Caenorhabditis elegans: one gene and its partner. The protein of the gene in region 2 interacts with the protein of the main gene of each other region in a pairwise test. Each region holds a gene or a part of one and is shown on either strand. Other genes may lie near its edges. The genes, in order: sorb-1 and klp-3.

What was found.
Region 1: the proteins of klp-3 (region 2) and sorb-1 interact in binary tests that used the Caenorhabditis elegans proteins (3 or more experiments, as listed by UniProt).

The regions. Positions count from the first base shown.
Region 1 is NC_003282.8:13,748,513-13,753,460, reverse strand, and holds the start of sorb-1 (SH3 domain-containing protein), read right to left. Parts: upstream 3,129-4,948; 5' UTR 3,126-3,128; coding exon 3,087-3,125; intron 3,039-3,086; coding exon 2,834-3,038; intron 2,809-2,833; exon of another isoform or gene 2,788-2,808; intron 2,603-2,787; exon of another isoform or gene 2,579-2,602; intron 2,419-2,578; coding exon 2,288-2,418; intron 2,277-2,287; exon of another isoform or gene 2,256-2,276; intron 2,202-2,255; exon of another isoform or gene 2,178-2,201; intron 1,965-2,177; exon of another isoform or gene 1,944-1,964; intron 1,706-1,943; exon of another isoform or gene 1,685-1,705; intron 1,672-1,684; exon of another isoform or gene 1,651-1,671; intron 1,535-1,650; exon of another isoform or gene 1,514-1,534; intron 1,072-1,513; exon of another isoform or gene 1,051-1,071; intron 981-1,050; coding exon 127-980; intron 111-126; exon of another isoform or gene 90-110; intron 1-89. UniProt on the Caenorhabditis elegans protein: Required for organization of sarcomeres in body wall muscles and for maintaining normal mitochondrial position in myocytes.
Region 2 is NC_003280.10:7,840,339-7,846,153, reverse strand, and holds klp-3 (Kinesin-like protein klp-3), read right to left. Parts: upstream 3,802-5,815; 5' UTR 3,738-3,801; coding exon 3,681-3,737; intron 3,505-3,680; coding exon 3,366-3,504; intron 2,881-3,365; coding exon 2,673-2,880; intron 2,539-2,672; coding exon 2,213-2,538; intron 2,121-2,212; coding exon 1,834-2,120; intron 1,786-1,833; coding exon 1,655-1,785; intron 1,608-1,654; coding exon 1,466-1,607; intron 1,423-1,465; coding exon 1,320-1,422; intron 1,270-1,319; coding exon 1,072-1,269; intron 1,024-1,071; coding exon 923-1,023; intron 876-922; coding exon 771-875; 3' UTR 501-770; downstream 1-500. Other genes in the region: Acetylcholine receptor subunit alpha-type acr-7, read left to right, coding at 371-490.

The DNA of each region.
Region 1 (4,948 bases), on a different chromosome or scaffold from region 2:
TTGAATAAAAAATTTTGAGTTTGAAAATTTCGAAAAATTTCTCCTGTTTCAAGTATTCTACATATTAATCGATCAAATAGATTGTGCAATTTTCATTACATATGTTCCACGAAAACATCAACTCACCTATCATTTTTGAATCCTTGTTCTTTATAAGACGGAGTTGATGTCATCGGCGATCGATTTTGCTTCTCCTCAAAGCTGGCTCCAAAAAATAAATTGCTCGGCGATTGACTCGCCAAGTTGGGTGATGACTTGGAAAGGTCAATTGCCACTGGTTTATGCTTCCTTCGAATAGTTCCATAATGATCCGTCGAGCTTGTAGAGTAGGGAGCCGGGGATTTTGATTTTACGAGAAGTTGGGAACTTTCCAAATCGATAGATCTCTTGATTTCACTCTCTTTTTCTGGAGAAAATGGTGGAAAATTTGTTGGTTCAAATTGTTTAGCAACAGGAGCCACGTGGCCAAACGGTGTGAGTTCTGAATTGAATATTGAGCTTGATGGAGGCTGAGGCTCAGGTTGTTGATTCTGCTGATTATTTCCATTTTTCAAATTTTCAGTCGATGACGTCATCACTTTTTCAGACAAAGATACACACGGTGTCTCACTTCCCTCTTTCAATTCATTTTTCTCTTCCATTAACTTTTTCCTATATTGCTCATAGAGATGCCGTTGCTCGGCTGCCGCAGAAAATCCAGCAATTTCTGAAGATTCTCCAAATGTCGAGATACACGAGGAAATAATTGATGCACTGTCATCAATGTCGAATTCTCCGAGGTGATGACGTGGATCGAGCGCCACGTCATACGGGATTCGGTAGGACGTTTTTTGAGATTGCTGGGGTTGAGAGGGGGCTTTGGAGCTCTGTAGGACCTGAGCCTGAAGGGCTTGAGCAGCAGAGTGTGGAGGCTTTGTGGAAGGAGGCACTGGTGGTTTCGACTCATTGTGCTTTACTTGACTGTAACTGGCCGGTGGAACCTGGAAGTTGCAAAAAATAATTCTGCTGTTTCAACTTCATAACATAATGCGAAGATGTTAATAGAGTCGGTCTTTCAAATTTCCCCGCTTCGAATTTCAAGTAACTGATTTTGGCATTCCGTTTGCAAGAAATTGGAGGTATCAACACCGAATTGAATAAAACTTTATAATTTTATTGATTTTCCTGGTTAGAATCAGTTCTGCGCGGAAAATCTTTTCAGCAAATGTACAAACCTACGTATTTTAGTTTGGTGATTATATTTTTTTTGTATCAAAAATCATTACAGAAATGTAGGACAAGGTTTGTTCTATGAGTTCTATCTGATAATGATATTTATTTTTTCTGCAAAGTTCGAAAATTATCTCAAATAGTGCCTGAGTTAGGGTTTGCCGTGAAACTTTTTCAGCAAATGACAACTTTCAGACACTATTTGACCCAATTTTCATAGAAAATTGAAAAAAAAAAAATAGAAACCACAATTTTTTCTGTTTCAGGAATTTTATGTCATGACAATAGAACAAGCGAAAAATGTTTATTGGTTTCAATCTTCAGTGTGTCGCAACAAGTCTAAGTAAGAGAATAAGCACTAAATTTTTTAGAACAACATGAAATGTCTTGGCGATTTTTCAGGTCATTTGCATTTGCAAGTTTTAAAAAGTACTCAAAACATTTTTCCTATAAGTTTTCCTATCACAAAAAAATAGTAATGTAGTTTTCATAGACAACACGAAAAAGTATTTTCATTGTTTTAAATTTTTGCAAATCTTCAAACTGTACACAAAATTTTAACGTTTTTTAAAACAATTTTGCGTAAATTTTTATCTACATAAGGATTTTTCATAAACTTCCCGGAATGTACAATTTTCAAAATAGAACTGAAAAGTTGTGTTTTCGGAAAATTAAAAAGAAAGTTCTACTGTTTCGTGAAAGCCATTTAGGACATTTACAATTTTCCGGTTTGATCTGATCGGTTTGTTCTTTTTTAACTTAAAAACTGTTAAATTTTTGAAATTTCGTATATAGAAGCTATTATTACTTGTGAATTGTATTTCTGAAAAGTAGAAAACTTCAAAACTCAAAATAATTTTGCTCATATTTTACAATTTTTAGTGAAGCTTTAGTCGATAATAATTTCTAGAAAAAAACTCACGTGTTTCACTCATAGCTTGTAAAAAAAGCCAAAAAGAAAATAATATCAGTAAAAAATGGTCAGTAATAACTAAATTTAACTATTTCAGCACATTGTTTTCAGTTTGAAAAGTTCGTTGCTTTATTGTATCGCTGTTTTTTTCAAAATAAAACTCACTCCTTGAAAATATTTATTTGGATTGACAGGACCATCAAGTACTCTTCCCATATTATGCTTGTTAAGATGTGGATCCACATATCCATTTGGTTCGTATACTTTTACATTTTTGGCCCAGGAAGGAGTTGAGTCTGGAATTTATTATTTTATTGAACATCAAAACATTTGGATTTTTTGAATATTGCTGGTTAGGAGAGACATCAGGAGTTGTTTTCCGCAAAATCAGAAAAAATTATACAAAAAAAACAGTTTTAGATAGTTTATAAGACTACTTCAAAACTTTATTGTTACTGTTTGCAGCATTCGGACAGAAACCAAAATATCTTACTATTAATAGAAAAAATGACAAAAATCTAATTGCAAAATTGCTGCTTCATCTTCCAGGTCCGTCGAGGTACCAGGTCTCAGCCAATCGTGTATTTGTTGACTATCTTGTTGACTAACATTTTTTACAGTTTCAAGGAATTCATATGAGCTATGTGTTACTTTCCGAAAACTATTATTTCGTAGCTTAATACATAGAACGCCTAGAAAAACAAAACTCACCAACAGGCGGAGGCGCTGGTTTCTGATATCTGGAACTATTTCCAGTTGGTGTCTTCATATCCAACTGCCCATGTATCACATTTCTCAACGCCGCCACATTTCCCTTCGGTGAGAATTTATCAGAATCTTCAAAGGTGTCAAAGTTGTAGGCATCTGCTGCAGGATTTAGATATTGACCAGATGGCTGTTGTGGTTCTGATGAGTTCTGGAAATTAATTAGGGATTGTGGAGTAGATTAATTGAAAGCTCTTACCGCCAGGTTTGACCCGAATGGATGAGGATGATGCATCATTCCTGGAATATGGGAGTTTGAAGAATTGTATAACAAAATAAAGGAAAGAATAAATGAAAAATGTGAAATACGGAAGACTAATATGTTCTGTCAGAAATGGGATTTTTTTTTGAAATTTGTACTGTAACAGTTTTTATAGTTCTCGAACTTTACCCAATCTGACAATAATTGCAGATTCATGGGATGTACACTATTCAAGAATATTTTCCATTTTCCAGAAAACTTCAGACATCTTGAAAATTTGTTTTAATTTTCAAAATATTTTCTCACTAGATTTTTAAATTCTATAAAGATTTTGAACCCAATTTCCAACTAAATTTGACATTTAGGAGCGCCAGTAGAATGCATTTTTGGAATTATAAGGATGGTACTTAAATGACCATATTGTCAATTTTTGTTTTGACTGTTTCATTTAAGTGTTAAAGCTCCCACAATGGATTCACGTTCAATTGACGCAATCCTTAAAATCATAATTTTTGTTGAAATGTTAATGCTTGTGTTAAAGTTATTGTTTTTAAAGTTTTGAACACCTTTTGAGACTTGAATGAGAATGTATCTAGTTTTTAAAAATAGCTTCCAAGACCGGGTAAAATGTGCACGGCAATCACAATTTTGCCATTGCTGGAATTGAAAAATGCTAATTTTTGTTTTCTTAAAATAGAAAAGACACTTGTAATTTTTTAATTTTAAAAATGAAAATAACATTCTGGAACAAGTGTTTAAATTTTATACTGTTTCTTTGAAATGGTAAAGCTTTTACAACATTTTCAAATCTATTCCACCTTTGTCCATGAGTATGTAAGACGTACAACTTTTGAAAAATGTTGTCTGGTCACTTGAGCAGTTTTTTCAAGAATAGTAAAACTTTTAGGTTAAAAATTTTTTATAACAGGGAAAAGGCCACATTTCATCTATCAGAATTTGGGGTTCGACCCAAAAAATTATTTCTACGATTTTTTACACTTTCATTAAGTTTAAATAATTAGAACTCAATGATTGTAGGAGTTGCAAAATCAGTTATGTATTTCACTGAAAACTAAAATTATTGAAAATTAAAATAATAAAAATTACCGTTTCACAGTTGTAATAGTTAACAAGCCCGAAACAGTACTAGGTTTTACGAAAAGTTGTTATTTTGAAATACGACAAAAAAACCAAAATAAGAAAAATTTTATCAGTAAATCGAGTGATATTATTGTTGCGAGAGCCACACTTAGAGAAACTAAGAATGTCCCTCATTGCGTCTTCTGTCCCCGGGACACGAAACAGAATCACATTCTCTCAGTGTCTGCGTCTCTCTATCTTTTTGCTCACTATATACATGACTTTACACACTTTTCGTCTTTCTTCTTTCAATTTTTGTTAAGCAATTGCCGGATGGACCTGCTGAAGAGAAAGAGAATGAGAGGAGAGAAGATGGAACTGCTCTCAAGTGACCAGACAAACTTTTTCATCACTATGATCATGATCATCACACCTTTGATTTAGTACTCTTTTGGCCAGAAGTAACCGTTGTATTTAAAAAAAGGTGGAGCGCAAGCTTATTAGTTTCAAAGGAAGAACAGAAACTTTAACACTTCATAGAAACAGTTAAAATTTGCAAAAAATTTGTTCAAAAAAATTATAGTTTTTTGCCGTTCGCATCACAATTTGCCATCGAAGAATAAACCTAGGAGACTAATTGTGCTTAAAAATAGTTTTTTTATTAGTTACCAAATCTATAAAAATGAGTATTTTCAGAATATGAAAAACATCAAACTATTTTTTAAAAATACAAAAAAGTCTGCCAGTCGACACAAATAAATACGGAATATAATTATAAT
Region 2 (5,815 bases):
GTGGCCGTGGAAGAGAATGTCCTTCTGTTTGGACTGTCTGAGTCTCTTTTAGAGAGGGAAGAGGCATAGAGTACTTCGCGGAAAAAATGAGTCTGGTCTGGACAACGAGATAGATAGAGAGAGCCAACCGTACTCGGTCAAATGTAATGCATGTATTATATTGTCATATATGCCCCAAAATAGGGTTTAAGTTATTTTATACAATTGACAACATTATTAACATTTCTTTTTAGAGTTAGATCAACCTTATAGTTCAATACTTTATTTCCTCTATTACCATTCCAGTCTCTTATAGTCACACTTACCAGCAAATAAAAAATAGTCCTACATGCAGGCCTAATAAAAAAACAATGTTTATTTCAAATTTTAGGACGAATGGAAGTTTGCAGCTCAAGCAGTTGACCGATTCTGCCTTATAATCTTCACAATTGTTTTTATAATTTGTTGCTTCATTTTTGTTGCAATTCCACCTATCAAAATATTGGATTGAACTAAAAAATATTAAATGAATATTTTTATTGTTTCAAAGCTCACACATAAACAAATTTGCAAATAATAAAAATGGGGGATATATTTAGATTTGAAAAAGTAAACCGTATTTCAAGTTTTTTGGTCAGTCAGCAGTTTTAGAAAAAAAAAATTGTTGGAACCCATTTTGAATTTTTGAAATTTTTCATGGACTAGAATGGAAAGAGTAAGCGGGTATTTCAGGGATTTGACAAGATGATTATTGGAGAAGTAGAGATGAAATATTTGATATTTTATGAGGTTCATTTTCTTGGAGATGCTGGGATTTCTCTTCGTTGACCACTGCTTATTCCAGTCATACTTCTACGTGTTGGTTCTCTTTTCATCGTTCCACTTTTTGTGAATACCTGAAACATTTAATTTTTGTAAAATGTGATAAGGCATAAATGCATACCTGTCCGATTTTTTCAGCAAAATTAACACTGCTAATAGATTCATTCAAACTCTTTGCATCTGGTGATAAATGCACAATGACCAGAGTTTTACTGTCTCCATCTGAAAATAATATTTAAAAGGGAAATCCCAATATATTATGAAACTCACTCAAGCTATCTTCAAGAATTCTTGTCAATTGACAATTTCTGAATGGAATATGTTTTTGATTCTGGCGAAGAGCAAGTACAACATTTCCAAGTTCAGATAGAGATTTATTGATAGCTTGAGCTTCTTTTAGCAGTTGACCGGTTGCATTCGTTTGAGAAACTCTCTCTGATCCAGCAAGATCTACCAAATTCAGACGACCTGAATAAATCATATATTCAAAATATTTTTTCACTTGAAAAATGACATACCAACTGTAGTTGCTTTTGTTATAAGATTTGTGGCCGATACTAAAACTCTAACAATAACATGAGAACGACTGGATTCAATATTGGCTTCAGTAGCAGCTACAGCCTGAAAATTGAAAATTTAGAATATGAAGTTGTTTCAAATTCACCTTATTCTTTCTTCCTCTAGCAAGCGTTTCCGTGACTTCTTCTGCAGAGTTCACTGAAACTTCCTCAAGTCCTGGAATTGAGCTTCTCCCTTCTTCAGTTTGACGAATTGCCAAATTTGTGTTGGAAGTGTTCAAGAGATCACTGAAAAATGAATTTGCAATTTTAGGTTAAAAAAAAAGTCAATTTACCGTATTTTTTCATTGTATATCTCCATCATGGCAACTTTAATATCATATTTTATATCGCCCGTTCTCTCCTTCGCAGTTTCGAACAATTGCATAATAGCTCTTTGATTGATTCCAGGCATTGTGACGGGACCCTGAAAATTGGAAATTTAAAGTTCTATTGAAAATTTAATTAAACTTACATCCATAGTGTATGTTTTTCCACTTCCGGTGTGTCCATACGCAAATATGCATACATTATAACCATCAATGCAAGATGTAATAATCGGAGAAACTTCATTAAATATCTGATCTTGCGAGAAATCAGTTGGAATAACCTTGTCAGCTCCAGCACTAGTTTTCCGAGTTCCCGTTGTGTTTGACACGTGGACAACTCCGTTATCCATTTCATCTATCACGACAACTGGTTTTTGATTGTCAGTTTCTGATGCAAGTTGTGGACGGATACGGTAGAATACACGAATGTTACCTTAAAAATTGAAAATTTTAGTTTTTTGGAAAGTAGTTATAAAGATCAATCATTCCGATTTCTTGGAATATTTCAATCAATTTAGAACTTACCATTCAACTCAACCAATTGATTGTGTAATTGCTTTCGTTTTTCCATTTCTGCTTTGTATCTTTCAATGAGAACTCGGAAGAAATCAGTTGTCTTTGAAGTGAGCATCATTCTCATTTCAGCCATACATACATTGAATGCATCTTTTGTATCCAATGCTAGTCTCTTCAATTCATCTTTTTCAGTTTTCAGCTCTTCTGCACATCTCTGAAGTTTCTTCCAATGCCCTTCTTCTCTCATTGATTGAACCATTTGAGGATATGGCTTTATGACGTCACCCGTTGGTTGGGGGCTCACTGATCTGGGAACCGAACATGAAGAATCACGGCTGGAATACACAGGAAAACATGCAAAGGCTTGCAAACGGAAAATAAATTACACTACATTTTTGACCTACTTTTCAAAAAATTCAAGTGTTCAAACTATTTTCACAAGACAATCACATTACAATAAAATGGTTACCTCAAAGCAAATCGATCCTCATTGCTTGTCATATCACTTTCATAATCTTCATCAGTTTCCAATAACTCATTCACTCTTGCCACTTTTTGCATTTGGCTCAGCGCATTTTTCAATCGTAGATTTTCTTCCGAAAGATTTCCGAAATCCAGTGAAAGAACTGAAATTCCTTTCAGCATATTTGACCGATTTGTGTATGACGTGGCACGGCCTGCAATTCAATTTCAACATTTAATAACCTGATCATTCCAATTAGCCGTTTGCTAGATTATTGTTTAGAAATAAGCTGTTGTAAGTTTTGTTTGGACTTGCGAAATTAAAGTGAACATGTAATGATGTTAGAAAAATATTATCAGTATCGGCCGGATTGAAATGATTTTGGTAGAATATGTGAAATTGAAAAAAGGCACTGTCAACCAAAAAACCAAGTAGAAAATAATAAAGATTAAACACTATAAAATCATGCCAATCCGACCACCACAACACAATTACTTTAAGAAAAAACAAAAATGCGTATTAAAAGATAACACTTTTGAGCTAAAGATAGCCAAATCACACGACGATCAAAAAATTGGGATTAAAAAACACGGTACTCATGACAATATATCAAGTAAGTGTCTAAGATTACGGATAAGTAATACGGGGTTTTAATCATGCAAAACTTCACAAAAATTCACTACACACGACAGTGCGTACCTTGAATAAAATCTTCCATATTTGCAATTCGTGACTCTTGTTCGTCTATAATATCTTCTAAATTTCTCAGAAGTCGGTCTTTTGTCTCAATGTGTGTCTCCAGAATTCGCATTTGCAACTTCATATTTACGAGTTCCACCTGAAATTGAACAATAATTGGAATGTGAATTAGAATTCTGGTACACAATTTTTTAATAAACTCAGTGAAAAATGGTTCAATCAATTTCAGAAAAAAAAAATCTTAAAATATTCTCTCAAACTTTGTGCAACTAGTGACACTAGTTAAACCAAAAACAAACTGAAATTAGAACAAACCTCATGAATATACTTGCATTGTTGGAAAATATCGACTTCGCCGACATGCGAATCCATTTTTAAAGTCAAAAATGGAGTGAGAGACTCCTGTGTTTATGTGTGTCGATCGTTTATTTTTTCTGGAAAACAGTAATTCTAGGGTGCAGCGGTTGAGGAAAACAACGCAAAAAACGGAGACAAAAATTTTTGTGTTCATTTAGAAACATAGAGGATAGTCAACATATTTAAGAGTATGTAAAATTGAAAAAGGAAATAAAAAGTGAACAAAATGTCAACAACGTTCGATTTTTTACTTTCTCTTTCTGTCTACTATATCGTAGCCAGATCAAAAAGGATAATCTTTTAGTTAGCAACTAAAACAACAGGAAAAAAACAAAAAAAAGTAAAATATAGCAACTGAATGGCATTCAAAAGTATCTCAAGTGGTCTTCTATACAAGACCAAGCCGAAAATGAATTGTTGGTCAGGTATTATTAGCGGAAAAAGGGAAGAAAAGAAAAAACCGAGAAGAAGTGAAAGAACTGGTCGAATATGGAGAAAAAGGTGAAGAAGTATCTCTGCAAATACAGTGATTCCACGTCATAAAAAAGTGAGAGAAGGTAAACTAATAAAAATTGAAGAAGGAATGAGGAGGATGAAAAGTTGAAAGGGCACAGAGAAAGAGCTTGTAGCGAAACAGGCGCACAAATCAAACATGAAATTGAATACAATGTAGACTGATGGCAGAACATTGAACAAAAAGGAAGAGAAAATTATTTGTGATCTGATCTCGGTACTGTTTTGTTTGCCGTCAAGCACTTTCATGAATGAGGTTAATTTTGTATTTATAGAAAATTCACAGAACGGTCGAGTTTCAAATAGTGGAAAAGGTATCATCAACTTGCTATAACCTAGTTTATTCCATCGCTCCAAAATTCTTGTAAATGTATAGAATTTTCATAGAACAACTGATGAGAATATATTGGTTGATTAAAAAACATTTTGAAACAGAAATTAAGCCCAATTTATTGAATATTTGGAGGTTTGAATAAATGGTTATTAAAAACTCAGAGCTTGTTTTCTGATAATATAAAGAATGATCTTTAAATAAATTAAAACAATTTGTTTATAATGAATATTGATGATTTCATTAAGCTTGTCTGACTCGGGTCACTCTACAGAATAACGAACGAAGAATTCTGACTAAAGCCAATAAGATTTGTGGAAAAATGTTTGAATTCCATCACCCGGAGCTCATGATTTGTTCTTTTCTTTCTTCCAACATCATTCCATTTCACATTTTCACAAACGAGCCTGTGTTCGGTTACAAGAGCTCATAAACTTCTAGTGCACATTTTCACATTTTCAAGTGGTTGAAAAAGAAAAAAAAACGAAAAGTGACGACGGTAGTGAAGAAATCTGAAGAAAAAAGAAGAAGCATGTCGATTCACATTGAATTGATGAGAAGGAAAAGGATGGAGTGTGCTCCGAGAAACCGACGAGCAACATGATTTATTAGTTGTGACCCACAAAAAAGGAGTGACACGAAATGGGAAAAAGTCTGTTTTGGGTAGCATCTAGATCAGAGAAATTCAGGCGATAGGCATATAAATACAAGGAAAAGTCTAAATTGGATTGGTGTTCAATGATGGAAGTTCCAAGACAAAATTCAATGACCAATCAGAAATTTCAAGAGTTAAGCGATGATGGTGGTGGACTACGGGCATGAATGTGTTTGTAAAAGTGATCAAAATGATGCGGAAAAGTGATCGAAAAGAGACGAAAGTAGGCGGAGTTGGGCGGAAATGAGAGGGACGCGGAACGGGCACACACACACGTAATAGGCAGTAAGCCAATTGTTTCTGCTCGTTTTTCAGGTTTCATTTCTTGTTTTATGGCGAGAACATACACATTACATAACACAAACAAATAGTTTTCCGTGTAATTGTGATGACCACGACAAGACCGCTAATTACAGAACATGAGAATTTGGAGAATTTAAGCGCAGAAGGAGAGAGAGAGAGATAGGGAAAGAGTTCGAAATGTGGAACATCAAGAAAAATGTTGGTATTGAACTAGAATAATTTTTAAAAATTGCTTCACCAATATCTTTCGTGCTCTTGAAATCTAGACACATACCTCATTTTTGATTAGTA